Lonchura striata: one gene and its partners. The protein of the gene in region 4 purifies or fractionates together with the protein of the main gene of each other region. This does not show direct contact. Links are inferred from orthologs where the notes say so. Each region holds a gene or a part of one and is shown on either strand. Other genes may lie near its edges.

Region 1 (7,181 bases), on a different chromosome or scaffold from region 4:
CACATTGGAACAGTTTTAACCCTGAAGTTATAAGGCCTCAATAAACATGCAAACTTATTGAGGCCACCTTTATTAAGGCTCACCCATGTAAGCCAATACTGAGGCCACCTTTTGGCATCCTGTGACCCTGGCATGACACTTGAGCTGTTGCCTTTGTTTGATGGACTCAGAGCAAACTCCTCCCTCCTTCCTCCACAAGTGACACTGCCAGTGAGGGGTGATAACAACCCCTATTTCAGATAGGTTTTTTTCATAATTAAGAAAAACTAGTATTTCAGTAGTAGCTCAAATTATCGGTGGGAAAATTAGTAATTGGTTCTTACCTTTACATTCAGCATCTCCTTGAGAAGGTCATTCAAATCATCTGAGTAACGATATGGTATTCTCCTGACCCTCCCTTCCCTTATCTTTTCTGCCAGTTCCTTTTGGTTGAAAGCTGTAAATGGAGGCCTGAAGAAGAAAATTTTACTTTGATTCTTTCACTAGTTTTACAGGACTTACTTTCAGGAAAAAAAGTATCAGACTATGAAAAAAAAAAACTGCAGTCAAGGTTTGTTTTGACTACCTAATGTCAAGACCAATAGAGAAATAAAAATCTAGGACTAGTCTCTGAAACTGTTAAGCTTCCATCTGTACAAAATACAACCACATCTACATTAGCAATCATGTTTCCACATTTGTTATCATGCTACCATACTTACGAGAGAGCACATAATTCATACACAATACATCCTAGCGACCAGATGTCAGATTTTTCATTGTATGACAAGTAGTTCATTTGTTCCTAAAGAAAGAGAATAATCTTAGGTTTGTTAACAAAGACATGCAACTCTATTTCAGTCAACATTAATCTTTCCCACACAAAGTGTCCTATATCAGGGAAACAAGTCATTCCTGCTCATTTCCACTACAACTTAAAATCCTACCATTAGGAGGTAATTTAATAAGTGCTTTACCTTAAAGTATGAAGCATAAAAGCTCTCTAACTTCCCTGTTCCTTTTCAGGAACAACATACTCCAATATTGCTAGTGTCCCAGGAATATAACAAAGCTTATACAGTGAAGAGCAACTGTTATTAGAAGGAAGTTGATTGTGCGGGGAAGAAAGGAGATGAAAACTGCAAAATAACTTTGTATCCAGAGCACATACTTTATGAAAAAAGTCACCTGCATTTAAGACCAATAAAGCTTCATGAAAACCTCCCAAACATTCATGGACTCAGACCAACACAGCACACCTTGGAGGGGCAAAAGGGAAGATAATGTACAGAAGGGACTTACTGGAGACATGTAATATGGAGTGCCAACAAACGTTGTGGCAAAGCTGGTATTATGGTGCAATATCCTAGCCAGTCCAAAGTCTCCAAGTTTCACATTCTGTTTGCTATCTAGAAAGACATTTGCTGGTTTCAGGTCTCGGTGCACAGTGACTGCACCATCGCTCCGCCTGTGACACTCCCTCAAGGCCAACGTTAATTGAGTCAACACCCGGATAATAAAGCTTTCATCCAAGAAATGCCTGAAAAATGAACACATTGTTTAATGGATTTTCTGAACACACATCAGTTTGATTAGTCACTGCCAGTTTTAGTTCCATAACTTTTTAATAGTACTATAATAAAAGACCACTCAAGCACTATCAGCAACAGGCATCTATGAATTCTACCTTTAAAACGGATTTTTTTTTTTTTAAATCACTGCAAATATGTTAGATGACATTGAGGCTTTCATTGCAGAATCCCTGCAATATTTCTTTCCTCCCCCATACTATCTAACAAACATATAGCATTTTCACTACTTACAAATATCAATTTGATGCTTTCGTAATGCGATCTGTCCCTTTGATTGCTCAAGATAATGATATGTTGTCATTTGTTAATAATGAGCAACAGACAATAACAGCCAAAACAGGGCTAGTTTTTAAATACAGACTCCCTTAAATGAAAAACACTGATACTGGCAGGCAGCTGCAGAACTGTTTTAGACTATCCTCATAAAGAGGTCGTGTCATGTACTTGTTTGAGCTAAGAATGTGAAAACTGACACTATTTTTAAGTAGAATGCTAAGTCTAAGATTAGACCAAGATGAAGCCTTATCAACTTGATGTTTCTCCAAGCTCTATATATGGGCAGGTAAAATAGCTTTTCATATTGCAATCAAAATCACTGCTCCCTTCCACACACGTCTGTGTTCTCATAAATCCCAGGGTCCCGGCAGTTTTACTCATGGGGAAGACCATTGATAGCCAGAAACCCCTCAAGAGCTTCTGCCTCACAAGACAGCTCTGCGTTTCTTACTGCTGGCAGCACCAACACCAATCCGGTGAAGCATTCAACAGCACAGTTCCCATCGCTGTTGCAACTTTGTACAAAACCTTTCACCTTTGAGAAGAGCTGCGGGGTCGAGAAGGCTTAAAAGCTGAAACTATTCAGCAGTTACAAAGCACATTTCCCTTCTCTCCGGGCTGCCCAAGACCCGTGCGAGACACTGCAGAACACAAGCTCATTCCACGTGCCTTTCTTTGGCGCACTTGGCGATCAAGCTGGCCAGGTCTCCCCCGTCGCAGTACTCCATGACGATGTACAGGGTGGTGCTGCTCCTGTCGATGATGCGATCGTAGTAGCGCACGATGTTCGGGTGCCGCAGCTCCCTCAGCAAGTTCACCTCCGACACGAGCATCTGCTTCTCCGACTCCGTCATCGCGCCATAGTCCAGTTCCTTCCATACCAAGATCTGCGGGGGCAGAAACACGCTGGGGAGTGAGCGGGGCAGCGCAGGGGGAGGAGGGTCTGCCGGAGGCGCTCGCTCGCGTGTGGCGGGGAGCCGCCAGCACCGGGCAGGGACGCACGGCAGCAGCGAAGCCGCGCTGCCTCCGCCTCACCTTGCCGTCGGCCTTGCGGCGCACCTTGCGGCACTTCCCGTAGGAGCCGGCGCCGATGGTGAGCAGCACCTCGTAGTCGTCGGGGCGGCCGGGCATGGCGGGCAGCGCACGGACCGCGCCGGGCCGCGCGGGCCCCTGCGCTCGCGCCGCGCCGTTCAAACGCACCGCCCCGCCCGCCCATTGGCCGCGCCGCCCGCGCGCCCCGCCCGCCCATTGGCTGCGCCGCCGTAAACAGCGCCCGCGAGGCGCGGCGGGTACGGCCGTTACCGCCGGGGGCGGGGCCGAGCCCATCGCGAGACCGGCCCCACGCCCCGCCTCACCCGGGGCTGAGGGGAGCGGCCTCCGCAGCTTTACCGCCTGTGTCCTTATCTTTTCCCCTGCTTTTCCCTTTGCCCCTTCCCTCCCCTTCCCTTCTTCCTGATTAGACAAATCACCGGGCCTGCATGCATATCCATATCATAGTCACATATCCATAGTCACATATCCATAGCTCCTCAGGAAGGGGTGTGTGTTTTTTTCATGAAAAATAACAGTAAATCATCACCGTTCTGAAATGCTTACATCTGTTGGATAGATAATTTTACTGTTCAGGAATGCTAAAAAAACCCCAAACCTTTAAGCTGTTTAAAATAACGTAAATCTAGTCTGGATTTATTGCAGTCTACAGCTTCTTGGTGAGGGGAAGAGGAGGGGCAGGCACTGATCTCTGCCCTGTGGTGCCCAGTGACAGGACCTGAGGGATTGGCCTGGAGCTGTGCCAGGGCAGGTTTAGGCTGGATATTAGGAAAAAATTCCTCACGAACAGGCTGCCCAGGGCAGTGGTCACAGCACCAGCCTGACAGAGGAAATGTTTGGGCAAAGCTCTCAGGCACATGGTGTGACTCTCAGGGTGTCCTGTGCAGGGCCAGGAGTTGGACTTGATGATCCTTGTGGGTCCCTTCCAACTCGGCATGTTCTGTGAAAATTGTCCTTTAAAACCAGTGTGGAAAATGTCTTCAAATTTTTTTCTTCAAAAAATCACTCATGAATAGCTACCAAAGTCATGGCAGCTCCCTGTCCTACCACATATAAACACCCATACTACATCATACACAAACCACCTGCTGAAAACATATAATAAAATTTGGGAAATGCAAACTGTGGATCCACATCCAAACGGAGCCAGCAAATACTGTGGTTACAGTAAACGGCGCTCAGTAACACCACAATCTACTAATGGCATTATATACATTTTAAGAACAATGTAGTGTATTTTCTAGCATAATTTATGGTAAGGAATGATGCCAAGGTGCAGTTCTGCAGCTCAATTTTATCTCTATCCATGTGGCAGTAGCTGTGACTGGAACAGGAACTTCTTCAGCAAAGCTTTGTAGCATACTTGTGATAATATAGAATCATCATGGTCTGGGGTGGAAGGAACCCTGAAGATCATCTTGTTCCCACTCCCAGCCATGGGCAGGGACACTTTCCTGGATCAGGTGTGAAAGGGAACAGCTGTATGTCCTGACCTAGAAATTCAGCAACAGGACAGAGCAGTTCCTCATTTTGCATCTCCACACGGTCTCAGTTATTTCCCAATTTTGTTTCAGCTTTGAAATAGGTTTGAGTAGGTGTCATGCTATGACTGAATATTTATGAAATATTCTTCTATTAGTCTTTAGAAAAATCAAAACCTTTACTTTTATCATCAGGAGGCACAAAAACTCCTGCTGTCCATTATAAAAATTGTATAGACTTCTTATCTGTAGAGAATGTATGGTCATTACAGGAAAAAATGAGCAAATGAATTCTACAGTGTAAAGGTATTTTGGTTTTGTAATTAATGGATAACAGGGTGATCTAAAGGGTTTGTGTTTATTACTGATTTCAATTACTTTGAAAGAAAATCCTCACATGCACCATTAGCATAGTGAATAAATTATGGCATTACTCAATGAAAATGACAAGCAGTACAGTATGTATTATTCAGGCTGGAAGCTTCATTGCTGGTTTTAAATATCTCCATTTCCAACTTCTGTACATTCAAATAAGCAAAAGGTCATCATGCATTCCCACTGTTATCAATGGGAGCCTTTCTATTTATATTTCAAAAGAAATACAGTAGGATTTCAATACTGTGTTTTGTCTAGGCACTGTCTTAAAAGTTTCTTTAGAAATGTTGGTTTGAATCAGAGAAATGTCAAAATGTCATGCTTCAAAAGCCAGCAGCAGTCATTTCACTTTTTATTATACTTATTAAGGGCTAGCTAATTTTGAGAAAAATGCATTTATAAAAGTGGTTATTAAAATTTTGACAGGCACTTCATTTTCTTTCTTTCTGATTTTCACACTTATAAAAATGACAAGAATTTTTTTTCCTTTTATATATGGACAAGTGAACCCAGACATGAATAATTCCAAAACTATGTATCAAGTTTGAAATGGGGGCCTCCTTTGTAATGTATTGTATTTTCAATTCTGGTCTCTTAGTTCAGGAGCAAATCTCAAATTTCTAGTCCTGAAAATAAATGTGCTGACTTCAGGCCTCAAAAGCCACCAAATAGTTCTCAATAACATATTTATAATAATGCTTCTAATATTATATTCTGCTTTTAATTTTTTTAACATCAAATTTCACCAATTATTTCCTAAAACTTGAACAAAATAAAAGTACTCTTTGGTAGTTGCCTACTGAGGTTTCTAGTTTTGATGACATCTGTCCTTTGTGCTGTAAAGAGTACATTTTCTCTTATTCCAGGACCTAGTTATCTAACAAAATATTAAATGCTGAAGATAAATAGTATGGTAGGCAATTTGATATTTCTCTAAAGATATTTTGTTTTTTGCACATGGAAGTAGGTAAAAATAAATGTGTGACACTTTGCTGTGAAAGTCCATCACAATATAATTATACAGATTAATAGCAAAAAAAGTGCAGTTAAGTACTGAAGGAATTAAGTATGTTTCTGGCTGCTTTTTTTTGTTTGTTTGTTTTGGTTTTTTTTGTTTTGTTGGTTTTTTTGTTTTTCAATCAGAGAAGATTGCACAGGTTCAGAAAGTGAAAATAAGCTCAACAGGAAAAGCACTGAAAATGAAGCCATAAAAATTATTAATAATGAAAAATAAATGCACTCTATAAGAATAATTAGAAAAACAACTGAGAAAAATGTTGATTTTTTTTTCTTTTCTAAGAGGTAAAAGACATGTAAAGACTTAGTCCAGGATCCATGGCAGAAATGTACCAAAGTCTTCTAGCAAAATAAGGAGGAATTGAGTATTCAATATTAGACAGGCAAGAGGTCTTAGAAATATTTTTACATGACAGAAAGAGGGCTTATAAATACTGGAGTGACCAAGATGATGAGTGTTTTATTTGAGTTTATTTTCACCACAGAAGTAGTTTGGAGTTTTTAACATTCAATGGCATTTGTCCTTACATATCTTTGTGCACACTGGGTTTTTCCCCCTCACTTTCTCTCATCTCTGTCCCTGCCCAGACATTTTACATTTACCCAGGACTGTTGTACACAGATGATGTAACTTTTTGGTAATATTTACTGATTTTAACAACAAAAATCATACACAGGATCAACAAAAACATATAAAATACTTGGATATTAGAGAGAAACACTATAAAAAATACCAGAGGATAAGATTTCGCTCTATTGCTTTGTGAGGGAGACAAAGAACACATTCATTGACAAAATTCTGCACAACACAGCTGTGGACAGGACAGCAAAGGAACAAAATAGAGCATGTATGTCTTCATATATATGCTAATTTTCACAATAGTATTCATTAACCTTAAGAACAGAAGGTGCTTGAATTGCTCTTTAAGACCACTATTTAAACTGATGAAAAGAGTGATTATTTGACATGTATAGAACTTCAAAAGAGAAATTACGGTGTGTCCTTCCTTAATAAGTCAAAATTTAAAGTATTGGGAAGGATTCTAAGGAAGGATTCTAGTATGTTAATTCATTATTTCTGTTGGCTTGCTTACTAAGTCAAGGAAAGCAGACAAGTTTAGGATCTGTGCCTCAATTTATCATCTTTTGAAAGGGAAACTTTCCAGATTAAATTTAATATCTAGGAGCTCTCAAAATGCTCAAAAAATGCTTTAAGTGATACAGTAAGTAAAGCTGCTTAATTTTTTAAAAGCAACAATATTAGAGTTGCTTATTGTGGAACAGCCAGTCTCAAATGTTTTTCCAGTAATTTATTTGTACTTACAGTCCCTTCAGATGTATTGGGAGAAATTTTTTCAAATTTTTCAATATATTTCAAGAAAGTTTTTCAACCATCACCAGAATTCCGTGC
Region 2 (6,692 bases), on a different chromosome or scaffold from region 4:
GAGTAATCCGAACCATTTACCACATTTGTAGATCGAGTAATCCGAGCAGCAGAAAGGCAATGCAGTGATGATATAGCTCACCCAATAATGATATGGGACATTATTGAAAATAATGCCAATGCAGAATGCAAAAGAATTATCAAAGCCTTGGGAAAAGAAAAACCTACAGTGCTTGAAATGATTGAGGCCTGCAACAAAATTGGAAGTCCACAGCAAGCAGCGACGATTCAAGCAAATGAACTTGGAAAAACTCTAGGAGAACAAATTCAAAAGGCTCTCACAGCACAGGCAACACAAGCAGAAGCACGAGACAAAAAACTTACTGAAATCCTAGCTGCCTTGCATCTCACCTCCCAGCAACAAGGCAACGCTATGGCTGTTAGGCAAACTGCTGTAACTTCAGGACCTTGCTACTTCTGCAAAAAAACCTGGCCATATCATGAAGAATTGCCCAAACGGCTAAAGGAGCTCTGTAAAGTAGGCTTGATTATGTTAATAGTGATAGTTTCGTTTCATTTGTAGTACCCTGCATACTTCAGTGTGTGCAAAATTGATGAGGAAGAGAGTATCTAACATCTTAGTTGTTCATCAGAACGGGGGAGATATTGGGGAAGATGAAATGGGAAAGTCTTATAAATATGTTTGCTTAGCAAAGGATTTGGAAAATACAGAGACTGAGTGAAACTGAGATGAGAACAAACTTTGAGATTTCGGACCTTGGTTGCTAAGCAGCTGGTGGACAGTAGTGTAGCTAGTAGAAGGTAACTCCCTTTTTTGACCCACAGACAGATCCAAGGGTCATCCCTCAAAAATGTGTAGTTTATCCTAACACCTGACTTCAGAGATCTCTTGTCTCTGTCCGTCCCGACCATCCAGGACCAGCCCTCACCACAGTCTGCTTCATCTCCCCCCCAGAAGCAGGATGAGACAAACAGACACCCCCTAGGTCCCTCAACCATCCTACTGCCACCCCAACCATCCCACAACACCCCAAGACCAAGCCGGGCAGGAGCATTTATTCATGAAGCACGTGCCTTGGTGGGGGACACAGCTTGGGAACATTTCATGGGGAGACACAAGGCAGCCTGGTGACCTCCCTGACCACCTACTGCCTGCTCCTGCCTGCAGCCCCTCCTGCTCAGAGCAGGGCCAGAAGGGCGAGGGGCAGCAGGGACAGCAGGATAGAGAGCGGGGAGTTTGGGGGAGCATCGCCATGGGCGTAATATTGGGCGACGACAACGTTGGGGTTCCCCTGCGTGGGATCAAACCACATCTGGATGCAGCGACCGCTGCCACGGTGGTGGGATGTGTAGCGGTAGGAGCCAGACCAGATCTGCTCGCAGAGTGCAGCCGCCGTGGGGAACACAAACTTGAACTTCTGGCACATGGCACCCTTGGGACACTGGTTGGTGCCTGGGGGTGGGCAAGGGGTGAAGTGGGTGAAGGGCTTGGGGAAATGGGTGTTGTTTGCCTGTGCATGGGGTGCAGATGGGTCCCACTGGCATTGCTGGGGAAGAGAGAGTTGACCTCAAGGTGGCACAGGGTCTACCCCACATGCCATGAGGACCCTGACCCACTCACATGCACAGGGGACTCTCACCTGGCTGCCACCCCCACCCCATGGGGACCCTCACACCCCTGGACCCACTCACACCCACCAGGGAGGGTGGATACAACTCCCTTGCTCCCCTGCAGCAAGATGGACACTGACTGGAGACCTACAGGAGAGTTGAGGCATGATGGGGGCTGCCCTGCAACCCCCACTCACCTGTAGTCCAGTTCCAGCCCTTGTGCCAGTTGACCTTGCAGGTGACAGCATCCTGGCAATCCTCCCACCACTGCTCACAGTCCTCCCAGCACAGTGGCACATCCCGGATCCGCTCCTTCCTCCAGCTGGTGTCTGCCTGCAGGGCCCCCAGTTTTCTCCAGTTCACCCCAGGGATCCTGGTGGGTGGGTGAGGGTGGGGTCTTCACCTACCTGGTCGATCCATGGCCCCAGGTTAGGGGAACACTCATAGAGACACAAGTCCTGGATGAAGTGGCGCTTGCATTTCTCTGGCATGGCCCCACAGTGGTCCCAGTTGAAGTTGTACAGGTAGGACTGGTCCTGGTGAGCTTCCAAACTCGTGTTGGCAGTGCAGCAGGCATTGTCCTTCCAGAGGATACACTGCACCAGGGCAGCTGGGGCTCAGCTGGGACCCACCAGGACCCACCAGGGCTCAGCTGGGACCTGCTGCAGGTCCAGGGGAAGCACCAGTGCCCGTGGGTGGGTGACACTGGATGATGGAATTCATGTTGGGGCACAGAGCCCTCCAGCCTCCATCCTGGTGACCCCACAGCAAGTGACACCAGTGGGAGCTATAGTACAGTGCATGAGGACCGTACCTGCCCATAGAGCTGCCCCTCAGGGCCAGGCTCTGTTTTATGGTGCTTGGCATCCATGCAGACGTTGAGCAGCGAGTCCTGTGTCACTGTCACTGCTGAAATGGCAGCTGGCCAGGCCAGCAGCAGAGCCAACACCGCTGCCATTGCTCTGCCAGGGCAACAGCAGGTCAGGACAGCAGCACCGAGAGACGCAGTTACAGCAGGGACAAAGTCCCCCGCTGTGCCCGTGGAAGCGCGGCAGCACACGGTCACCGCCCACGACCACCCACAGTGGGGTCAGGGGTCTTACCTGGGGATGCCAGGGGATCAAGACTCTTACCTGGGGGGCAGCTGGGCTCCAGGTGCTGTGGGACGAGCACAGCTCATCTCAAAGGTCGTGGTGCAGCACAACCCGTGGCCACTGGTCACGGGATGTGGGAATGCAGCGGATTGGGCAGCACTGAGGACACGGAAGAGACAGTGCATCCCACCCTGGCACCCCACTGTGTCCTGGATTGACACTCATGCCTATCCTGGCCCCACGTGCAGCTGGGATTCATCCTCCTGGCGCCAGGCTGGGGCCAGCACCAGCCAAAATCTACTTAGGGCTATTTTTCCTTCCCTCCCGTGGGAGGTGGCCTGATTCCTTGACACCAGCACAAGGGGCAGGACGTGGCCCCCCAGTACCACAGGGTCCCTGTGAATCACTGTGAGGCGGGGAACACCACAGTGGGTAAGAGATGTTGCTGGCAGGGACAGGTACCCCCTGTGGGGTCACAGATGGCCACAGCGTAGAGGCAAGTACCCCTCATGGAATTACAGGCACTCCAGGGAATCACAGATGCCCCGTGAAGGGGGGAGCGGATAGCCTGCAGGAGAGCAGTCCCTGTGGCTCGGGAGGGACAGAAATGCTCCAGGGTGAGACATTCCTGGGGCAATCACGGAGGTAAGATACCCTACAAGGGGGACACACTTCCAAGGTCACACATGATGGGGGACCAGACATGCCCCAGGGATCACAGATGCCCTGAGTAGTGGGGAGGATACCCCTCACAGATGACAGATAATCCTCAAAGGAGCAGATACCCCATCAGCATCACAGATACCGCCTCACTGGGGTCACTGGTACCTGTGGGGGGGTCACAAACCCACCATTAGTCACAAATACCCCAACGAGGGGCACAGATATTCCGTGGGGATCACCCCCTGAGGAGAGTCACAATGCTTCCCATCGGGGTCACACATCCCCAGGGGGTCACAGATGTTATGTGTAGTAGATATAATTTGTGGCATTTCTAGGATGATATATGTGATATTAAATATTTGTTGGAGTATACATGTTTGTATTAGGAGTCCCCCCCACCCTCTCAGACGAAACCTGGTGCGTGTTGAAACCTGATTTACACGTAAAAGGATGTGGCTGGGCCAGGAGGGATAAGGGGATACCCGGGCACTGATCATTGCGTGAGCGACCCGAGATGGATATTATAGAAATATTATAGAAATCCTCGGGCAGATACAGGTGAATGCAGGATTCCTGTAAATTTCATCAAGGGATTCAACAACTCTGGACACGTAATTGTTCTTCCTCATCACCAAAAATAAAAAGAAAATCTCATTAACCTACGGATTCTGAATGGAAGAAAAGACTGATTGCTGAAATCTTGGCCTCAGGCGGAATTTTCCCTATAAAACCCGCCTGTGCCAGGATGGAGGTGTGTGGGCACAGAGGAAAACCTCTGCTGAGGCTGACTCCTTGTTGCGCACGCAGCGCGGGGCTCAGCACTGTTCTTTCCTTGTGGCTGGCTAGATAGAATCTGATCGCAAAATAAATATTTGCTTTTTTTCATTTTAATTCGGCTGGACAAACTCTCACTTGTAACACAGACAGCTCCGGGGCGGGTCACGTTCGCCCGGCCCTCACAGCGGCCCCACACAGGACGCGCGGGGGGGGGGTGAACCCTCCACCTGTCAATCAAGCGACGCCCCGCCCCCAGGCGAGGCCACGCCCCAGCCGGGCTCCCCCTGGCGGCCGCGGTCGCGCCGCTCTGCGCATGCTCGGTGCGCGGTAACCGGTTCCGGGTTGCGCTCGCTGCTGGCTGGGCGGCCGGCGCCGGGCGGGCGGCCGCGCCATGTCCACGCTGTTCCCCTCGCTCCTGCCCCGCCTCACCGAGCCCCTCTGGTTCAACCTCGACCGCCCGTGCGTCGACGAGACCGAGCTGCAGCAGCAGGAGCAGCAGCACCAGGCCTGGGTGGGCACGGCTGTGGGGGCCGCGGGCCGGGTGTCAGGGGGCCGGGGAGCGGGCCCGGCTCCCTCAGCGGGTACGGCCCCGGGGCGGTGCCCGGGCTGGGGGCTGCTCCGCTGGTCACCGCCTGTGCCCGTGTTTCAGCTCTTGTGCCGCTGTCGCCGGCTCGGGCACCGCTGCTCCCGTGTCCCTCATCCGTCACTATTACCGGAGCTCCCCGTTTTATTGTAGAGGGTTAATTAATAAGATGCTGCTGGAGCTACGCGAGCTCTCTATGAATTAATTAACTAATCTCCCCAGGCAGGCAAAGAGCGATTTGTGATCCTGGTGGCTGATAAGTGTTGGCGATGTGAGCGTGGTTTTGTGCTGCAGTGCCCCTGAGTGTGGGGGGAAGAACATCTATTTGATTAAAGTTAAAAAAAAAAAATCAGTAATTAAGTTTTTATAATTAAATAATAAAGTTTAAATCAATTAAAACTTCAGGACGTAGAAGAGGTTCCAAATCCCTCTGGGTGGGAGGTGCTGACATATTTTAATTGAGCTTTAATTATCTGCTGTGGTTGTGTTCATCTGGCTGATCAGATTTGTCCCAGATTTGTTTATTTTTTGATAAAGAAATACATAAGCTTTGTGTTTGGGCTTCTGATGCCGCACATGGGGATACCAGTGTCATTGGGACCAGCCTGCTTGGTGCCAGGGTGTTCAGGCAGGTGTCTGGAGCTGCTCTTCCCTGCTTGGCCAGGAGATGCCAGGGAGGCAGCAGGACTGGGCTGGAAACAGGCGTGAATAGCAAGCGCCACAAGCCAGCAGCTGAGCCGACAGGGCCTGTTTGCTGGCGTGTCATGGAGCTGTTGGGGTGCTCACCTGCCTCTCTCCTTTCCCCAGCTCCAGAGCATTGCTGAGAAGGACAACAACTTGGTGCCCATAGGAAAGCCAGCGTCCGAGGTGGGTGTGTGGGCAGGGAAGAGGGGGGCTTGCCACAGCGCTTGAAGGGCAGATGGGGTTGCTGGAGCTGTTGTGTCCACAGCACTATGATGAGGAGGAGGAGGAGGATGATGAAGATGATGAAGACAGTGAAGAGGACTCAGAGGATGATGAGGACATGCAGGATATGGATGAGATGAACGATTATAATGAGTCTCCTGATGATGGGGAGATCAATGAGGTAATAGTGCGAGACCCCAAAGAAGGGGATGTGAAGTGTGTGGGACCCTGAGCATGAGCTCCAGGAGCTGTCTTCTCTCCTTCACACCCTCAATTAAGTTCTTGCTCTGGAGGAGATCTTAAACTTCTTTCTTTCCTAGGTGGACATGGAGGGGACAGAGCAGGATCAGGACCAGTGGATGATCTGATTCTGCCACAACCACACCAAACCAGAGGCTGGGGGAGATTCTTTGCCCCCCATGGCTCTGGGGGACGGTTCAGTGAAGCTCCTCCTTCCATGGGTGCTGTGTGGGGCAGCAGATTCAGAGGGAAGCCCCACAGGGGAGCCAGAGGGGAGACTGCCACCTGGCATACTGGGACTGACACATCGTTTCTAATAAACTCAGTTTTCAAGAAAACAACCCCAAATCTGGTGTCTGAGGCCACCAGGGAGTCAGGGGGTACCACCCAGGCAAATGCAGGGCTGCTCCCCACCATTGACTGGTGCGCCTGGCAGATCTCCCTGTGCAGTGCAGGCAGGAACACTGCAGGGAGTGAGCCCACTCATTGCCCGCTGCGCCCCACCACAGACCACAGAGCCACTGCCTTTTCTCCAGAGCCCTTGTTGAAGCCGGGGCAGGGGTTGGGGAGTAACTGTGGCCATCACGAGGCAGGGGCTCGCCGCCCGCTCAGTGGGTGCCGGTGTAGCGGAGCTCGGCGATACCGTCAGGAATGGCGCGGAAGTACTCCAGGCTAGCGCGGTGCACCTTGCAGTGGTATTTGCCGCAGGTCTTGGCGTACTGCAGGAAGTGAGGTGCCCCAGGGAAGAGGACGTTATCAGCCAGGATGGTGGCCCCCTCAGCCAGCAGCTGGTGGCTTTCCAGCAGCCGTAGATCCCGCAGGTAGCAGCGTTTCCAGTGATCCATGAAGACCAAGTTG
Region 3 (7,709 bases), on a different chromosome or scaffold from region 4:
TCCATGATTCAGACACTTGTAGAGTGACAAGGTCCCCCCAAACACTTGTAGAGAGTGACAAGGTCCCCCCTGAACCTCCTTGTCTCCGGGTTGAGCCTCCACCCCTAGCTCCCCCAGCTACTCCTGGTGCTCCAGACCCTTCCCCACCTCCATTCCCATCTCTGGACACACTCCAGCACCTCTAAGTCTTTCTTTTCATGCAGGGCCCAAAATTGCCCCCAGGATTTGAGGTGAGGCCTCACCAGTGGTCACACAGGGGGACGGTCACTGCCATGATCCTGTGGCCACACCACTGCCATTGGCCTTCTTGGGCACCCGGGCACACCTGGGCTTGTGATCAGCCACTGCACACCTCGGACCTTTCCCAGCCCCTCAGCCCCAGCCTGCAGCGCTCCATGGGGTTTTTGTGACCCAAGCGCAGGACTGGTCACTTCACCCTATGGAATCTCACTCACCCCATTGCCCTCTGGCCTGCCCAGCATGGGAATGCTGTGCTGAAGGCACTGCTCCTTCTCACCTGGCCCATACCAGCAGGATAATAGGGAACAGGGACAAAAACAAGGAAAGGAGGAAGACCCAGGGGAAACCAACATAAGCCATTAACCCAAGGCAAACTGAACAGATCTCTTGTGGCATGGGAAGGAAACAAGGGAGTTTCTGGATATTCAGACCCTGCCCCAACACTGGCCTTGCATGGGGACATTTGGGACCAAGGTGTATCGGGGTCATGCGTGTTCCCCTCGCCTGCTGCCTCATGGGAAGGGACTGGGATTTGGGGAACCAGCATCCTGATGATGTGGCTGAAGGGCACTGGTATTTCTCTGCACCAACCTTTCTGCTCCCTGAACCTGTGACACAAGTCACTGCCTGCTGTACTCTTCCCAAAGAATAGAAACACACCACTTTGAAGCCTTTTCCATCTGGGAAGAAAAACCTCCTTAAGCTCAGCTAAAAAACTGCAACAGATCACTCCCAGTCTTCTTTGACTTGCAAAGTTGCTTATTCACTGCACATTCCCAGGCTTTGGTGACAGGGATTGAATTTTCATCCCAGCTTCCCATATCTTGAAGCCATCAGCAGCCAAGGAAGGGCTCATGGACTTGGAGGCCCCGAGGAAAGGGAAGAAGGAAAACTCACTAAAACTGCTGCAAGAAGTTGGAGCATCTTCCATGAAGATCCAGCAGCACTGCTTTTCCTTCAGATGTTGGGCATATTCCCTGTGGATCCAGCATCCCTCAGGGAGCAGGACAAGACCAGGGACAGACATTTGTCCCATGCCTGTCATTTGTGGTCAGCCTTTGCTACATGAGTGCACTTTGATCTGGCTGCATTCCTTGCTGCTCCTGCTGGCTTTGCAATTTTTGGAAACAAAGCAATGGAAAAGCCTTTGGACTTTGTGGGCTGCAGGCTGGGAATGGCCCTTGCATCAGGATACAGTCACCCCACTAACACAGGGTGAGGAAGAGAAGCAGATTGTGCAAAAGAGGAATTTAAAAAATAAACAAGAACATGCAGGACCATAAAGAGGATTTCAACAGCTCCCAAAAATCCCCTGATTTGGGTCATTTCTTTGCAGCAGGTTGGGTTCTGCTCCAGCTCCAGAGGGTTTGTTGCACAGCCTGACGTGAGGAACAGGTTGAAAGGGAGGAAAAAATCGGAGAGGAGAAATCAGAGGAGAAACTCTCAGGTGATAGGAAAAGCCTGGAAGCAGTTGGCAGGAGCCAATCTGGCCCCTTTGGCTCTAGGATACCTCAGTGCCATCCTCCTGCTCCTCACAGCATATGGAATACTGGAATGGTCTTTTTTGAAGCAGGTGATGGATTTCCATCCTCAGAGCCCAAACTCAACAGTTGCTGGGGAGTATCCCCACAAACCACTCATGGTTTTTGGCCCTGACTCACCAGATCATGCCAAGCAGCATCCCCTGTTCCCACTGCCTGGGTTGGGAATCAGGTGGCATTTGGCCCTAAGAATAATTCCTGGGGCAGTGGGAGAGGCAAAAAGGCAACTGGTGTCAAAAGAAGGAGGGACAACCTTTCCTGAGCAGCAGGATCAGCCCTGAATCAGCTAAACCAGTCACTACCCAAGGTTATCTGATCCATCACCAGCAAGGAGGAGTCCATGTTTTCCTGCTGTGTCCTGCACCAGAGGGAGAGATCCTTATCTTCACAGCCTGGGTGAGAAGGTCCCAAAAGATCCCTCTCTGCAGGGATCCTCAGCTCTTCCTTGGCGGGATCCCAGTGATGCAGGTGTCTGAGTCTGACCCATACTTTGCAGTTTCACTTCAGTGCATTGACTCTGTTTCCTCACCAGACTTTTGGGAGACCTTGGATCCAATTTTTCCTTTGGGAAATCGGATTGTTTAGCAGAAATGGCACTTGGCAATCAGACGTGTGGGCTTTTGTCTGCTGAGGGTATTTTCTTCCCAGCTATTTATGTGTTTTTATTTTCATTTTGCTAAATCATTCCTTTATTCCTGCTTCCTCTTTGGGCCTATTTTTATTTTGATTTTCAGGGGCTCCTGTTCTTTCAAATGCCAAACTCCTTTGGCAACACGTCCTTAGCTGAGGGCAGCTGGCCCGTTTGTGCTCAGTGCTAAACCCCAGACACAGGATGCGGCTCCCAAACAATTTGAAGGGAAAACCGGAACTTTTTGTGATGCCACTAAAATGCCTTTTTCTTGCTGTGCCTGTTCTGGGCACTGGGACACCCTGCAGCTCTTACCGGGCACATCCTGTCCCTTGGCTTAGCTGGCTCTTCCCAGAACAATTTCTCCTGCTCTGCAAATCACTTTGCGAAAGCAAAGGTTGGACATTGGCTTTTCCTACCCTGCTTCTCCTTTCTGAGAAGCACTTCTGTCTCAGCTTAAACCAAAGAAACCCAGACTCCAGTTTCAAGTATGTTTTCAATTCATCCACAGCTTCTCCCTTCTTTGCTTATTGTGAAACTCATGTCTTGAAAATAAATAATTTGCCCTTTCAGTTCCCATCAAGCTACTCCATACATGTTTTAGAGGAGGGTTAGATGGGATATTGGGAAGAAATCTTTTCCTGGGAGGCTGAGGAGGCCCTGGCACAGGTTGTCCAGAGATTCTGTGGCTGTCTCATTGCTGAAAGTGTCCAAGGCCAGGTTGGATGGGGTACAAATCCTATGAGAACAGAAAGGGTTGTAAAGCACTGCAAGAGGCTGCCCAGGGAGTGGTACAGTCGTCATCCCTGGAACTGTTAAAAAAAAAAACAAAACATGTGGACGTGGCAATTGAAGACATAGTTTAGTGGTGAACATGGTCGTGGTGATGGCTGATGGTTGGACTTGATGATCTGAACGGTCTTTCCCAACCTTTGCTCCTATCCAGGAGGGAGAGGGGATGGCACAATCTCCCTCCATTCCAGACAGAACAGCCCCTCCTATGTGACAGAAGCGAGGATTTTAGCCGGGATAAGTCAGCAGAGCCCAGACTTACACAGATTTATGCTAATCCATGTCACAAGCACATGGAATGGTGGCAAGAGAGTTGTACCCATGCCCGGGGTGGCTGCAGAAGCCTCATTGGTCCCACAAAGTAGCTTCTTAAGCACCGTATCAGAGAATTCCAGAATCCCAGAATGTTTTGTGTTGTAAGGGATCTCAAAGATGATCCAGTCTCACCCATTGCATGGGCAGGGACACCTTTCACTATCCCAGGGTGCTCCAAGCCCTGTCAACTTGGTCTGGAACACTCTCAGCATGGGGCAGCTTCTCTGGGCCAATGTCCATGTCTCGAACACAGATGGCCATGGAGCTGAATTGTTGGGAATAACGGACAAGGATTGTTGGTACTAAATGCCAGGTAAATGAACAAGATGTAACTGGAGAAGGGGCCATGCAGAAGTAGGGCAGGGCTTTTCTGGAACAAACATCCTTGTTCCAGTTCAAGAGACACAATAACAACAACAAAAAGAGCATCAGCACAGAATTCTTTCTTCCTTTATGTCGGAGCCCCTTCAGGCGCTGAAAGGGGCTCTAAGAGCTCCCTGGAGGCTTCTCTTTTCCAGGTGAACACTCCCAATTCTGATGGAGATTGAGCCTAAGATTGGATACATCTTCATCCCACCTCCTCTTTGAAAAGCAGTTTAGGAAACAAGAGGGTTTATTCTGTATCTCCTTTACCCTTTCTTCCTTTTTACATCACTGGCTTCCATCAAAATCACTCTACATGGACTCTGATTATTCTTTATCCTGGGATGCTGGGATGATTTGGGTGGGAAGGAACCTTAAACATGATCCAATTCCTTGCCATGGGCTGGGAAACCTTCCACTATCACAAGTTGCTCCCACCTGGCCTGAACACTTCCAGAGATGGGGCAGCCACAGCTTCTCTGGACAACTCTTCCAGTGCTTCACCACGCTCACAGGGAAGAATTACTTCCCAATATCCGTCTAAACGTATCCTCCGTCATTTCAAAGACAGTCCAGCACGACCCCAGGCCGTGAGCTGGGCGATCCATGACGGAAGTCGCCACGGGAGGACAGCAGTCCCCAACCACCGCCGCCCGGCAGCGCCGTGCCAGCGCTCGGCGGGACTGTGGCACCGAAAGGGCATTTTGGGGGAAGTCTCCCCCGAGGATACGCCGGGAGGCACTGGAATGCCGCAGGACACGGCGGGAACAGGCGCGGCCATGGCGGGGCGGGCGCGCGCGGGGCAGCCCGGGAGCGCCAAGATGGCCGCGCCCGCGTGAGGGGCCGCCGGTGCCGCTCCCCGCGCGTCCAGGTGCCCGCGGGACCCGCCGGCGCGTCCCGGAAATAATGAGGATATCGGGGCCCCATGTCGGACCACTGTGACGAGAGGGCGACGATGATTGCGGCCGGCGACCTGCAGGAGTTCGCGCCGCGGGGCCGCGAGCAGAGCCGGCGGCACCCCAGCGCCCTGAGCCTGCAGCTGCGGCGTCTGCAGCCCGCGCCGGAGCTCTGCTCCTCCGACGGCGCCGCAGGACTCGTGGGCTCCCTCCGAGAGGTCACCATCCACGACCGGCAACGGGTACGAGCCTTCCTGAGCTGGGCGTCGGGAGGGAAGGGAGCTTGAAGCCCATCCGGCTCCCGCCCGCCGCCGTGGGCTGGGACACCTTCCACCAGACCGGGCTGCTCCAAGCCTCCTCCAGCCTGCCCTTGACTTCCAGGGATGGGGCAGCCTGCGCCAGGGCCTCACCACCCTCCCGGGGAAGAATTCCTTCCCGATATCCCACCTAACCCTGCTCTCTGGCAGTAGGAAGCCATTTCCCCTTGTCCTGTCAATCCAGACTCGTGTCCAAGTGCCGCTCCAGCTCTCTTGGAGCCCCTTTAGGCACTGGAAGGGGTTTTAAGGTCTCCTTGGAGGCTTCTCTTCGCCAGGTGAACAGCCCCAGCTCTGCTGGAGTTCGAGCCTAAGATTGGATCCATCCATATCCCAGCTCCTCTCTGAGAAGGAGTTCAGGGAGGAAGGGGGTTCACTCTAAATCTCAGAACTCTACAAAGGGTCTCCCTTGCCCATTCCTCCCTGGCTTCCATCAAAATAAATCTAAATGGATCCTGATTGTCCTTACCATGGAATGCCAGGGTTTTTTGGGGTTGGAAGGGATCTTACGGATCATCTCATTTCACCTCCTGTCATGATCAGGGACACCTTCCACTATCCCATGGTGCTCCAAGCCCCATCCAGCCTGGCCTGGGACACTTCCAGGGATGGGGCAGACACAACTTTTCTGTGCCAGCACCTTGTAACTGGCCTAACTCATCACACCCGTGGGTCTTGTGGCTTTTCTTTTGACAAACCTCTGTTTTCCAGGAAAGCTGGCAGCTGAGGAAAGGCATCAGTGATGTCGGGGAGGAGGTGGACTATGACGAGGAGCTGTACGTGGCCAGCAATGTGGTCATCTGGAGCAAGGGCAGCAGAAGCCAAGCGTCCACTGTGTACAAGGCATTCACCGTTGACAGCCCCGTCCTGCAGGTACAGAAATGTGGGAAAGGGGCACTGAGGGAATCCACAGACCCTTTCTAGGCAGGGAACAGGGGAAGGTGACATTGTGTGGGAGCAGCTCGTTCTGGAGAATTAATGATGCTCTGTTGGGTTTCAGGCCTTGTGGTGTGACTTCACTGTGTTCCAGGAAAAATCAGAAAAAGCTGATGGTGAGTGTCCTGCTTCTTGTGCTGCTGGGCAAATGCTCTGAGTTCAGCTTTCTTGGCTTTGAGTCATGGAATTGTTTAGTTTGGGAAAGCCCTGAGAGGCCACCAAGTCCAGCTGTTGCCAACGCCACCACAAAACCACATCCCCAAGTGCTGCATCCACGTGGCTTTTATAGCCCTGTGCCTGTGTCAGGGCTGGATACTCTTTTGGGGAAGGAATTTTCCCAATATCCACCCTGAATCTCCCTGGTGCAACTTGGGTCTATTTCCTCTCATCCTGTCCCTTGTTCCCTGAAAGCAGAGCCTGACCCCAACCTGGCTGCACCCTCTTGTCACAGAGTTGTGCAGACCCGGAAGGTCTCCCCTGAGCCGTCTTTACACCAGACTGAGCTTTCTCTGCCAGTCTTTGTTTTCCAGCCCCTTCCCAGCTCCATTCCCCTTTCTGGACACACTCTAGGAGCTCATTCACCACGACTTGAAATGTCAGAATTTACTTTTTGTGTATAAGGGATGTCGGAAACAGAGTGAAACTTCACTGTGTAATTGTTTTGTTCCTTCCTTTCCAGTGTCAGGCAATGACGAAATAGTGGAGAAATGTATCTGCATTTTGCAGAATTCCTGCATAAATGTGCACAGCATGGAGGGGAAGGATTACATCGCTGCTCTGCCTTTCCAGGTAACTTCTGCCATGCTTTTTGTCCACATTTATGTTTCCCTGCTCTGCGCAAAAAGCCTGAACATCGTATTTTCCTATAAGACCCTCAAACATCATCAACACAGCACATGGTTGATGTTTTTATCCCACCATAAATCCATATTTTTTTTATAGGTTGCAAATGTCTGGCCAACCAAATATGGGTTGTTATTTGAGCGCAGCAGTTTTTCCCATGAGGTGCCTCCAAGTCCACCCAGGTATGAGCTGAGGAATTTGGGTGGTTTCCTGTTGGATAATCTAATAAGGAATGGAAAGTTGAAGGGCAGTAGTGAAATATCCGTGTGTTTCTGATAGAAAAAGGTGGAATTGGGTGGAAAAGGAGGAAGTTATGTTTGACCCTCCCTGGAAGTGTTCAAGGAAAGCTTGGATGGGGCTTGGAGCAACCTGGGATGGTGGAAGTGCCCCTGCCCGTGGCAGTGGATGGAATAGGATAATTTTAAGATTCCTTCCTACCCAAACCATTCTGGGATTTTATTGATGCATTTCTTCCAGTCTTTTTATATCATCCCAGTGACTGAGTGAGCACACTCAAAGCTGAGTGTTAAAAACTATTTGGGTGTGCTGGTCCCAGGAATAGGATCTGGGAAGCACCAGCCTGATTCCATTAAATTTGTCCTAGGAATTGATTTCAGGCTGTCATGGTCAGCTGGGAGAGTCACTGAGGGATTAGCATCGAGACATTATCTCTCAGCTGCAGGATCCCATTTCCTCTTTGGTGAGGATCCCATTCCCTGCAGAGTGGGGATCCCATTCCCTGTTGGCTGAAGCTTCCAACTCTTGTGGAAGCCCTCTCTGCATCCCAAAGGAAGCAGTTGGACAATGTGCTGATGAGCAGCTTTAATCCACTCTTGGGTTT
Region 4 (7,652 bases):
AGTAGTCAGATAGCGACCTCTGTTATTCTTGCTTTGGCAAAAACCTGTTCTGATACTGAGTCTATGGGAAACCCACAGCAGTTCAGTTTCATAGATTTATTATTACCTGCACAGTATATCTTCCGTAACCCACTGGGAATTAATTTCTCTTCCCCAAATTCCTTTGCATTGCAAAGAGGACAGGACAAGTTTGCTGCTTGCCACTTAGACCAGAACTTACCCAGCTGTGGTCTGTTGACATATGCATTTTTGCTTATGCTTTGAAGTTGTAGAACTTGCTAATTTCAAAATTTCATTTGTGATTTTCACAGATTCTCAGGACTGTTGTTTCAGAGTTACAGTCCTTCCTACAGAGGAGTTGTTTCTGTAAACAGTGGGACTGTACAAAAGTAGTTTTGTTTTAAGATAGAATCAGTGCGGGGTTTAATAAAATAATTTATTTGCCTTTTGTAGGATGGCAGACGATGGAAACATTGTGTTCTTTGCAAAAAATGTGTAAAGCCCTGTAAGTACAGAAAACTATTTTCTAAATAAAAGTGCATTTAGTCCAAAGAAACTGAATTTCCAAACCAGAATAGAAAATATTCTGTGAAAGAAGTAAAATATAATTCAGAAGATATAGAATAAACAAAAAGTCTCAATTTCACACAAGTTACTATTCTTTAGTTTAGATGTACTTGCACTGTGTGGAAATGCAGGAAATTCTTGCCAAGGCACACTAAATCCCATTTACATTTATCATGGCAAAACAGAAATATTTCCATTTGTCATATAAGTGTTTCCTAATTTTCTAAACTTTGAATTTTCTAAACAAGTAGGGAATTACAAAATGTTTGAGAGATCATGGTAAAATTGTTTGATGCTCAAATTTAGTTGTATTTATGCCTCTGTATAAATAGCTGAAGCAGTTATCTTTGTTACTGTTACAAAAATCAAAATCTGTAAATACATTGTAACATCTGCAGTGTTTTTCTTTTGAAGATGACACATAGGATAAAAGTTCTAATGGCAAAATAATTCACACTTAATTGCACAATATGTCCAGTAATGTGATAAGGGTCCCGAAGGTGACTACAGCTATCTCTGCAAAGCTAATCCAGAATTAAAAACCTGGTAATGTGGCTTTAAAGCTTAGTTTCAGAATGTTCAATTTAAACTTTTCCAAGATCATAAATAATGTTATATATTTTGCAGCTTGGTTTCACTGTAACAATTGCAAGTGCTGCGCTCTTCCAAAGCACAGCTGTGAGAAGACTGACATTGGCTGTTTCGTTTGTGGCAAGGCAGGTCACAAGCGCAGTGCCTGTCCCAGTCTCTCCCGCCCCAGAACAGCTTGTCAGTAAGTGTCATATTGCATTAGTACAGTAACATACAGCATTCAGATGAGATGAGATGTCACGGAATCAGTTCAGAAGGAGATGATATTTTGCTTTAGGTGCTGATGTCAGCTTTCCCTATTGCTCACTTGCTGGACTGTTGGGGAGTATATACTGAAGGGAGGGTATGATAAAAGGCAGGTCACTTTCTGGGGCTTCCAATTCCCTGTCTGTGGGTTTTCTTTCAAAACTGATTTATATGGATTCAGACTTGGTGACTGGTGCATGGAACTCTGTCAAGGTGACTGAAAATTGAAGTAATGGAACACTTTCATCCCCTTTGAGTTCCTCATGCAATGGCAGAGAAAACAGACACAATATATTAGAGTCACCAAGAGTCACATTGAGTACTTTTAGTCTTCCATGATTTTCCTTTTGTTACATACAGAACAACACTGTATGCATACCTGTATGTATCAGAGAGCCAAGTAAATGGTTTTTGGTTGTCTTCAGATGGAACTAACTGAAAAGAGGAAAGCGGATTTGCTAAGAGATGATCCAGCAGATGGCTCAGTCTTTCCAGTTCAGGATAATTGATTGCACTACTATAAATTCCTTTCCAGAGTAATGGGTTTTTCTGTGATTCTGGACTTGAATGGCTGTAGCAGTGGAAGGCAAATTTTCCCTCCCAAAAGCTGTACCTGTGTTACACAGTGAGACTCAGACCATTACCCTCTTGAATCAGTATCCAGGGACTCACCAGATGCCTGCTGGATAGCAGATGGGTACAGGTGTATTGCTTCATGTCCTACTGACACTAAACCAGATTTTGTTTAGGGAGTATTAGACACAAAACGTAGCAATGTTTCATTTTATATATCTCTCATAAAAATTGCGTCTCTTAATGTTTCTTTTTCCTTTGGTAAAGAAATTAAAAAGGATGCTAAAAGAATTTATGAAACCTCATCTGTTTTTTCTGTCAAGGAAGATACTGTTCTATCAGTTGTGCCGCAATGGTTTTAATATTTTAGGCCATCAGTTAGTTCTTTTGCTGACTCGTTGCAGAAGATAGCTTAGATTTCTTTTTCGAATAAAAATGTTGTATGTTTTGTTACAATTACTCAGAATTTTGTGTTGTGACATCTTTTGTCAGAGATAGAAAACAATCCACTTGTTAGTTGTATTTAGGTCTTGTACTAATTGCAGGATGCTTTCTAATGGTGTTAAACTTCACATACTTTTTTCTAAGTCTTTCTATTATATATTAATGCAGTATATATTCAGCGTGAAACTGTGTGTGCTTTTTTTGTACTCAATGAGTGAGTTTCTTGTTTTCAGTATCTGTGTAAATTTAAATGCTGAATAAATACATAAAATGAATATATAATGGCAATAAAGTGGACAGTTTTGTGAACTTGAAAGACCATAACATTTTGAGACAGGTAATGTTCCATGTACTTCACATACTACCACATAATTAATATACTTATTTAGAATACCAGCAAATGTATTTGTACAGAGAAGTGTGTTCTTCATTTTATTCTAATCTCTGTGTTCCTTTTTTTCCTTTACAGACCTGACAAAAAGAAAGGACAGAAAACTCGAAAGAGAGTAAAAATGGGGATCTCTAAAAGATTAGCTATGAAATATGCCATATTCTCCAAGAGGAAAGTAAAGAATAAGAAAAAAATGACATGACTCTTTTTGCTGCTACATAGTTGCTAATTTATTTTTTTTATTGACAGCCTTTTGTTCCATTTTCTAAAAATGTAAGTGCTAACATCCAGAATAAAACATGATGGAATTAACAGTTCCTTTATCATCATTACTGATACCAAACAAAAAAAAAAAGCAACAAACAACTAAGTGAACTACCACAGCCCTTGTCATGTGTGTGTATAATGTGATAATGTTGTATTTAGGATTAGCTATTTGTCTAATTCGATGGGTGTTGGACGTTAAGGGTCTTAACTGCTGAGAGGTGAGATACTGCTCTGATTTTATGTTGGAGGACATGGGGCAAGGAAGAAAGTGAGGGTAGGTGATGGGAAGGCACGAGTTCTAGGAATTCAGTCTCTGTTGATTACAGTCGTCTCACAGGATGGCCAGTGATTTTTTAAAACGTTCTCTCCAAATGGAAAATGGGTTTACAAAAAAAAAATATTTAGTACTAAACAGTATGTCGTAAGTAAGCAGAGCGGGAAGAGCCTGACCAGCCTCCCCTGGCTCGGCGCTGCGGCGGCTCCGCTCCCGAGCCCCGCCCCGCTGCCGGGACAACCCGCACGGCTCCAAATCCCGCCCCGCTGCCGGGACAACCCGCACGGCTCCAAATCCCGCCCCGCTGCCGGGATAACCCGCACGGCTCCGAGCCCCGCCCCGCTGCCGGGATAACCCGCACGGCTCCCAAATCCCGCCCCGCTGCCGGGACAACCCGCACGGCTCCGAGCCCCGCCCCGCTGCCGGGACAACCCGCACGGCTCCCAAATCCCGCCCCGCTGCCGGGATAACCCGCACGGCTCCAAATCCCGCCCCGCTGCCGGGATAACCCGCACGGCTCCAAATCCCGCCCCGCTGCCGGGATAACCCGCACGGCTCCGAGCCCCGCCCCGCTGCCGGGACAACCCGCACGGCTCCGAGCCCCGCCCCGCTGCCGGGACAACCCGCACGGCTCCCAAATCCCGCCCCGCTGCCGGGATCTCCCGCACGGCTCCCAAATCCCGCCCCGCTGCCGGGATCTCCCGCACGGCTCCAAATCCCGCCCCGCTGCCGGGACAACCCGCACGGCTCCCAAATCCCGCCCCGCTGTCGGGACAACCCGCACGGCTCCGAGCCCCGCCCCGCTGCCGGGACAAACCGCACGGCTCCCAAATCCCGCCCCGCTGCCGGGACAACCCGCACGGCTCCAAATCCCGCCCCGCTGCCGGGATAACCCGCACGGCTCCAAATCCCGCCCCGCTGCCGGGATAACCCGCACGGCTCCGAGCCCCGCCCCGCTGCCGGGACAACCCGCACGGCTCCGAGCCCCGCCCCGCTGCCGGGACAACCCGCACGGCTCCCAAATCCCGCCCCGCTGCCGGGACAACCCGCACGGCTCCCAAATCCCGCCCCGCTGCCGGGATCTCCCGCACGGCTCCAAATCCCGCCCCGCTGCCGGGACAACCCGCACGGCTCCCAAATCCCGCCCCGCTGCCGGGACAACCCGCACGGCTCCGAGCCCCGCCCCGCTGCCGGGACAACCCGCACGGCTCCGAGCCCCGCCCCGCTGCCGGGATAACCCGCACGGCTCCGAGCCCCGCCCCGCTGCCGGGATAACCCGCACGGCTCCGAGCCCCGCCCCGCTCCTTGCCGCGGCGGGCAGCGCCGCCCCGGAAGCGGAGCAGGCCCGGCGGGCTCGGCGCAGCCCGCAGCCATGCCCGCCTTCAGGCAGGTGGGCGAGAAGCAGCTGCCGCAGGAGGTCGTGTTCATGGCCTGGTCCCCCAAAAGGGACCTGATCGCCCTGGCCAACCGAGCGGGGGAGGTGAGTGCGGCTGCTGGTGAGAGCTCGGGAGGAGCGGCGCTGCCCTCCCTGCAGGCCCGCATGCCTTTGCTGTTACTTGCAGCATGTTTCTCGTGAGTCTCGACAGGCATTTAAGGACAGCAATTTTTTAAGTCGAGCGTCTTACTGCTCCTTCATATTTTGCATTCTGATTTCCGAACAAATTCATATACGATGCGCTCGTTGTTTGTAGGATTTTAAATGCATGGATGGGCCTATTTAAATTAAATCTAATTTTAAGTACTTTTTCCCGTGGAACTGCAGTGTATGATCATGTAGGAAGACAAGACTTGTGCTTTCGGGCTGTCTGCTAGAGAGGTGGTGGGTAACCCCTGTTGGTTAGGAGCTTGTATCCTTATGCACCTTATTTCTCTCTTCTGCTATAAACTATGTGCTGCCCTCTAAAAGAATATAGGAGTGAATCATCTGCTAGAGGAGCAGGTGGTGTTTAAGACACAGGAGTTAAAAACGGGTAAAAAAGGTGCATCTTGAACTGATTTACTAACTTTATTAATGGGAGAATATGGTTTAAGTTTGTCTTCATGCATTCGTTTTATAGGTTTTACTTCATCGGCTTGCAAACTTTCAACGTGTTTGGAGTTTGCCTCCAAATGAAAATACAGGAAAAGAAGTGACTGCTCTTGCTTGGAGACCAGATGGCAAAAGTAATGTCAAGTATATGAGATGATATGGTGCAATAAAACCCCATGGGAACTCATGAATGATGATGCCTCTCATCTGTGAAGGAAATTTTCAAGTAAACTGTGTTTGAAGAAAAGGGTGGCTTAATTTTATGTAGGTTCATTCACAGCAATAGAGATATTAACACTGTTGAATGCAATTGCAAGAAAGATTTCAGATTTATATGCCAAATGTTGCTTTTCAGGGTATAGCAAAATTTCAACCTCCTAATTAAGCAGGATATTTTGTATGAACTACAAAGTTTATTGGGAGGGAAAGAAGCTGTTTGATCAGGATTGATTGAAAAGCTTAGCTTACTTAACATAGGCAAAACTTCATAGGCTAAAATTACTCTAATTATAGACCAGAGAAGAAAAACATAGCCTTTTCCTTATTAATAGAAATAATGTTGAAATTAGTAGCTTAATAAACTTATGCTAGAAATCAGTTAATTTTTGATTCACTAGAGGTGGGAGATGGGAACAATATTCTTCCATGACATATGTATAAAAACTACCTATATTGTTTTATGAAGGCATCTGAAGAGTTTAAGAAACTTCTTTTTAAGATGATTACCTGTGATTATAAGGAAGGAAATGGAGAAACTTCTGCCTGCAATTCTCTATTATGAGTGAAGAAAGTGATACAAAAGTTGCTCAGCTTCTAATTTGTGTTTTTTGTCCACCAAATCTTTCTGGTGGACAATGTTATACATAATATTGGACTCAAGTTTGCAAAATTGGAAGCCTCTACTTTATCAGAACTATTGTTAAAAGTGTTAGAAGCGTGTTCAGTTCTAGGTCAGTGTAAGATAGACATTTTGCTCATTGGTTATTTATACATTTTACTTGTCTTTCTCTAGTTTTGGCTTTTGGCCTTGCTGATACCAAGCGGATTATTCTGTGTGATGTAGAAAAGCCTGAAAGCTTGCACTCCTTCTCTGTGGAGTTATCTATCACATACATGCATTGGATGGAAGTAACTGAGGAAAGCAGGTGAGTCTGAAAAGTAAATCATGAGCTATGTAATGCCACCTTACTGTTAATTTTTATTCTTAATGTTACAAGCAGTTACATGAAATAATACAGTATTCCATACCTGAGGGTTTTTCTCACAACTTGACTAAATTTTCCTTTTTAGAATAGACACTTTTCATATGCTTATTTTTAGTGCTGACACCTTAGTCTTGTGGGTCTTTGGGTGATTTTGTGCATGATTTTGTGCTTCTCTTTCTTAAGAGCTGCTTAATCTAGTGTTAGCATGTACAGCCTGTCTTCTGATCCAGTTTGCTTCAATATCAATCAATTTATTAAACTAATTATAAGAATGTTATGTTCATCTCTTTTGTTAGTCAGAATAGGTATTATATTTAAATATTTATTCTGTGTTTTCAAGATTTTTATTTTGGTGTTTATGTCTTTTGTGTTTTGTCCTTGGTGTTACATCCAATTTCATTGGCAATCCTGTTCAGGAAGTCAGATTATCTCTAGTGACCATGAACTCTGTGTGATTGAACAAGTCTCAGCAGCACTTGTGTCCTGGAGGACATCATGGTCCCTATTTCTGTTGTCTTAAGGAAGCCTCTGATGTGCACCTTATGGCAGTGCAAGAACATGTTAAATAAAACACTTATTTAAAGGAGGCAGGTGGTGTAAGCTCCTGATTTGAGGATTTCCCCCCTCACCTGCCATAAGCATCAGATTTAAAATAGCAAGAAAATAGCTGTGCCTTTAACCACACTGACATTCTTCTTCTGGTGGGAATAGGCTTAGCTTTTTGTGGGGAATCTCAACCTTCTGATATATCCAAGATGTGGTATTAAGTATTGTGCTTTGATCTTCCTGTTACTGCAATGTATCTTTAGCTGTTTTGAGGTGTGGGTAGGTTGTACTGCAGGTTTGGAGAGAGTTTAAACAGAAAACCTCTGATAGTAATTGCTTTACAGGCAATGAAAAATTTGGTGACAAGCTTCTGAGCCAGCCAATACAAACTTTATTCACTGGAAATAAAAAAAGATTTTCAGTTCTTTTATTAATTTGATCACTTGATAAATTTTTAAAGGTCACATAAATTATTATCCTCTGATATTTGTAATTTTGATATACATAATGCATTGAATA

What was found.
Region 1: the proteins of ANAPC4 (region 4) and NEK2 purify together in Homo sapiens (affinity purification with mass spectrometry; 6 studies listed by BioGRID and IntAct, with this or other methods). This does not show direct contact. The link is inferred for Lonchura striata from reciprocal best matches to the Homo sapiens genes ANAPC4 and NEK2.
Region 2: the proteins of ANAPC4 (region 4) and ANAPC15 purify together in Homo sapiens (affinity purification with mass spectrometry; 10 studies listed by BioGRID and IntAct, with this or other methods). This does not show direct contact. The link is inferred for Lonchura striata from reciprocal best matches to the Homo sapiens genes ANAPC4 and ANAPC15.
Region 3: the proteins of ANAPC4 (region 4) and ANAPC1 purify together in Homo sapiens (co-purification; 13 studies listed by BioGRID and IntAct, with this or other methods). This does not show direct contact. The link is inferred for Lonchura striata from reciprocal best matches to the Homo sapiens genes ANAPC4 and ANAPC1.

The regions. Positions count from the first base shown.
Region 1 is NC_134605.1:12,190,187-12,197,367, reverse strand, and holds the start of NEK2 (serine/threonine-protein kinase Nek2), read right to left. Parts: upstream 3,015-7,181; 5' UTR 2,979-3,014; coding exon 2,883-2,978; intron 2,735-2,882; coding exon 2,517-2,734; intron 1,520-2,516; coding exon 1,282-1,519; intron 785-1,281; coding exon 702-784; intron 451-701; coding exon 324-450; intron 1-323. UniProt on the Homo sapiens protein: Protein kinase which is involved in the control of centrosome separation and bipolar spindle formation in mitotic cells and chromatin condensation in meiotic cells.
Region 2 is NC_134604.1:4,304,598-4,311,289, reverse strand, and holds ANAPC15 (anaphase-promoting complex subunit 15), read left to right. Parts: upstream 1-4,416; 5' UTR 4,417-4,496; coding exon 4,497-4,616; intron 4,617-5,495; coding exon 5,496-5,555; intron 5,556-5,637; coding exon 5,638-5,775; intron 5,776-5,914; coding exon 5,915-5,962; 3' UTR 5,963-6,182; downstream 6,183-6,692. Other genes in the region: folate receptor gamma, read right to left, coding at 1,139-1,413, 1,769-1,904, 1,979-2,167, 2,386-2,533, 2,705-2,751; TOMT (transmembrane O-methyltransferase), read right to left, coding at 6,443-6,692. UniProt on the Homo sapiens protein: Component of the anaphase promoting complex/cyclosome (APC/C), a cell cycle-regulated E3 ubiquitin ligase that controls progression through mitosis and the G1 phase of the cell cycle.
Region 3 is NC_134605.1:27,745,927-27,753,635, reverse strand, and holds the start of ANAPC1 (anaphase-promoting complex subunit 1), read left to right. Parts: upstream 1-4,691; 5' UTR 4,692-4,804; coding exon 4,805-5,017; intron 5,018-5,800; coding exon 5,801-5,962; intron 5,963-6,089; coding exon 6,090-6,141; intron 6,142-6,704; coding exon 6,705-6,814; intron 6,815-6,967; coding exon 6,968-7,050; intron 7,051-7,709. UniProt on the Homo sapiens protein: Component of the anaphase promoting complex/cyclosome (APC/C), a cell cycle-regulated E3 ubiquitin ligase that controls progression through mitosis and the G1 phase of the cell cycle.
Region 4 is NC_134606.1:18,430,211-18,437,862, forward strand, and holds the start of ANAPC4 (anaphase-promoting complex subunit 4), read left to right. Parts: upstream 1-4,645; 5' UTR 4,646-4,725; coding exon 4,726-4,833; intron 4,834-5,410; coding exon 5,411-5,516; intron 5,517-5,524; exon of another isoform or gene 5,525-5,646; intron 5,647-6,394; coding exon 6,395-6,527; intron 6,528-7,652. UniProt on the Homo sapiens protein: Component of the anaphase promoting complex/cyclosome (APC/C), a cell cycle-regulated E3 ubiquitin ligase that controls progression through mitosis and the G1 phase of the cell cycle.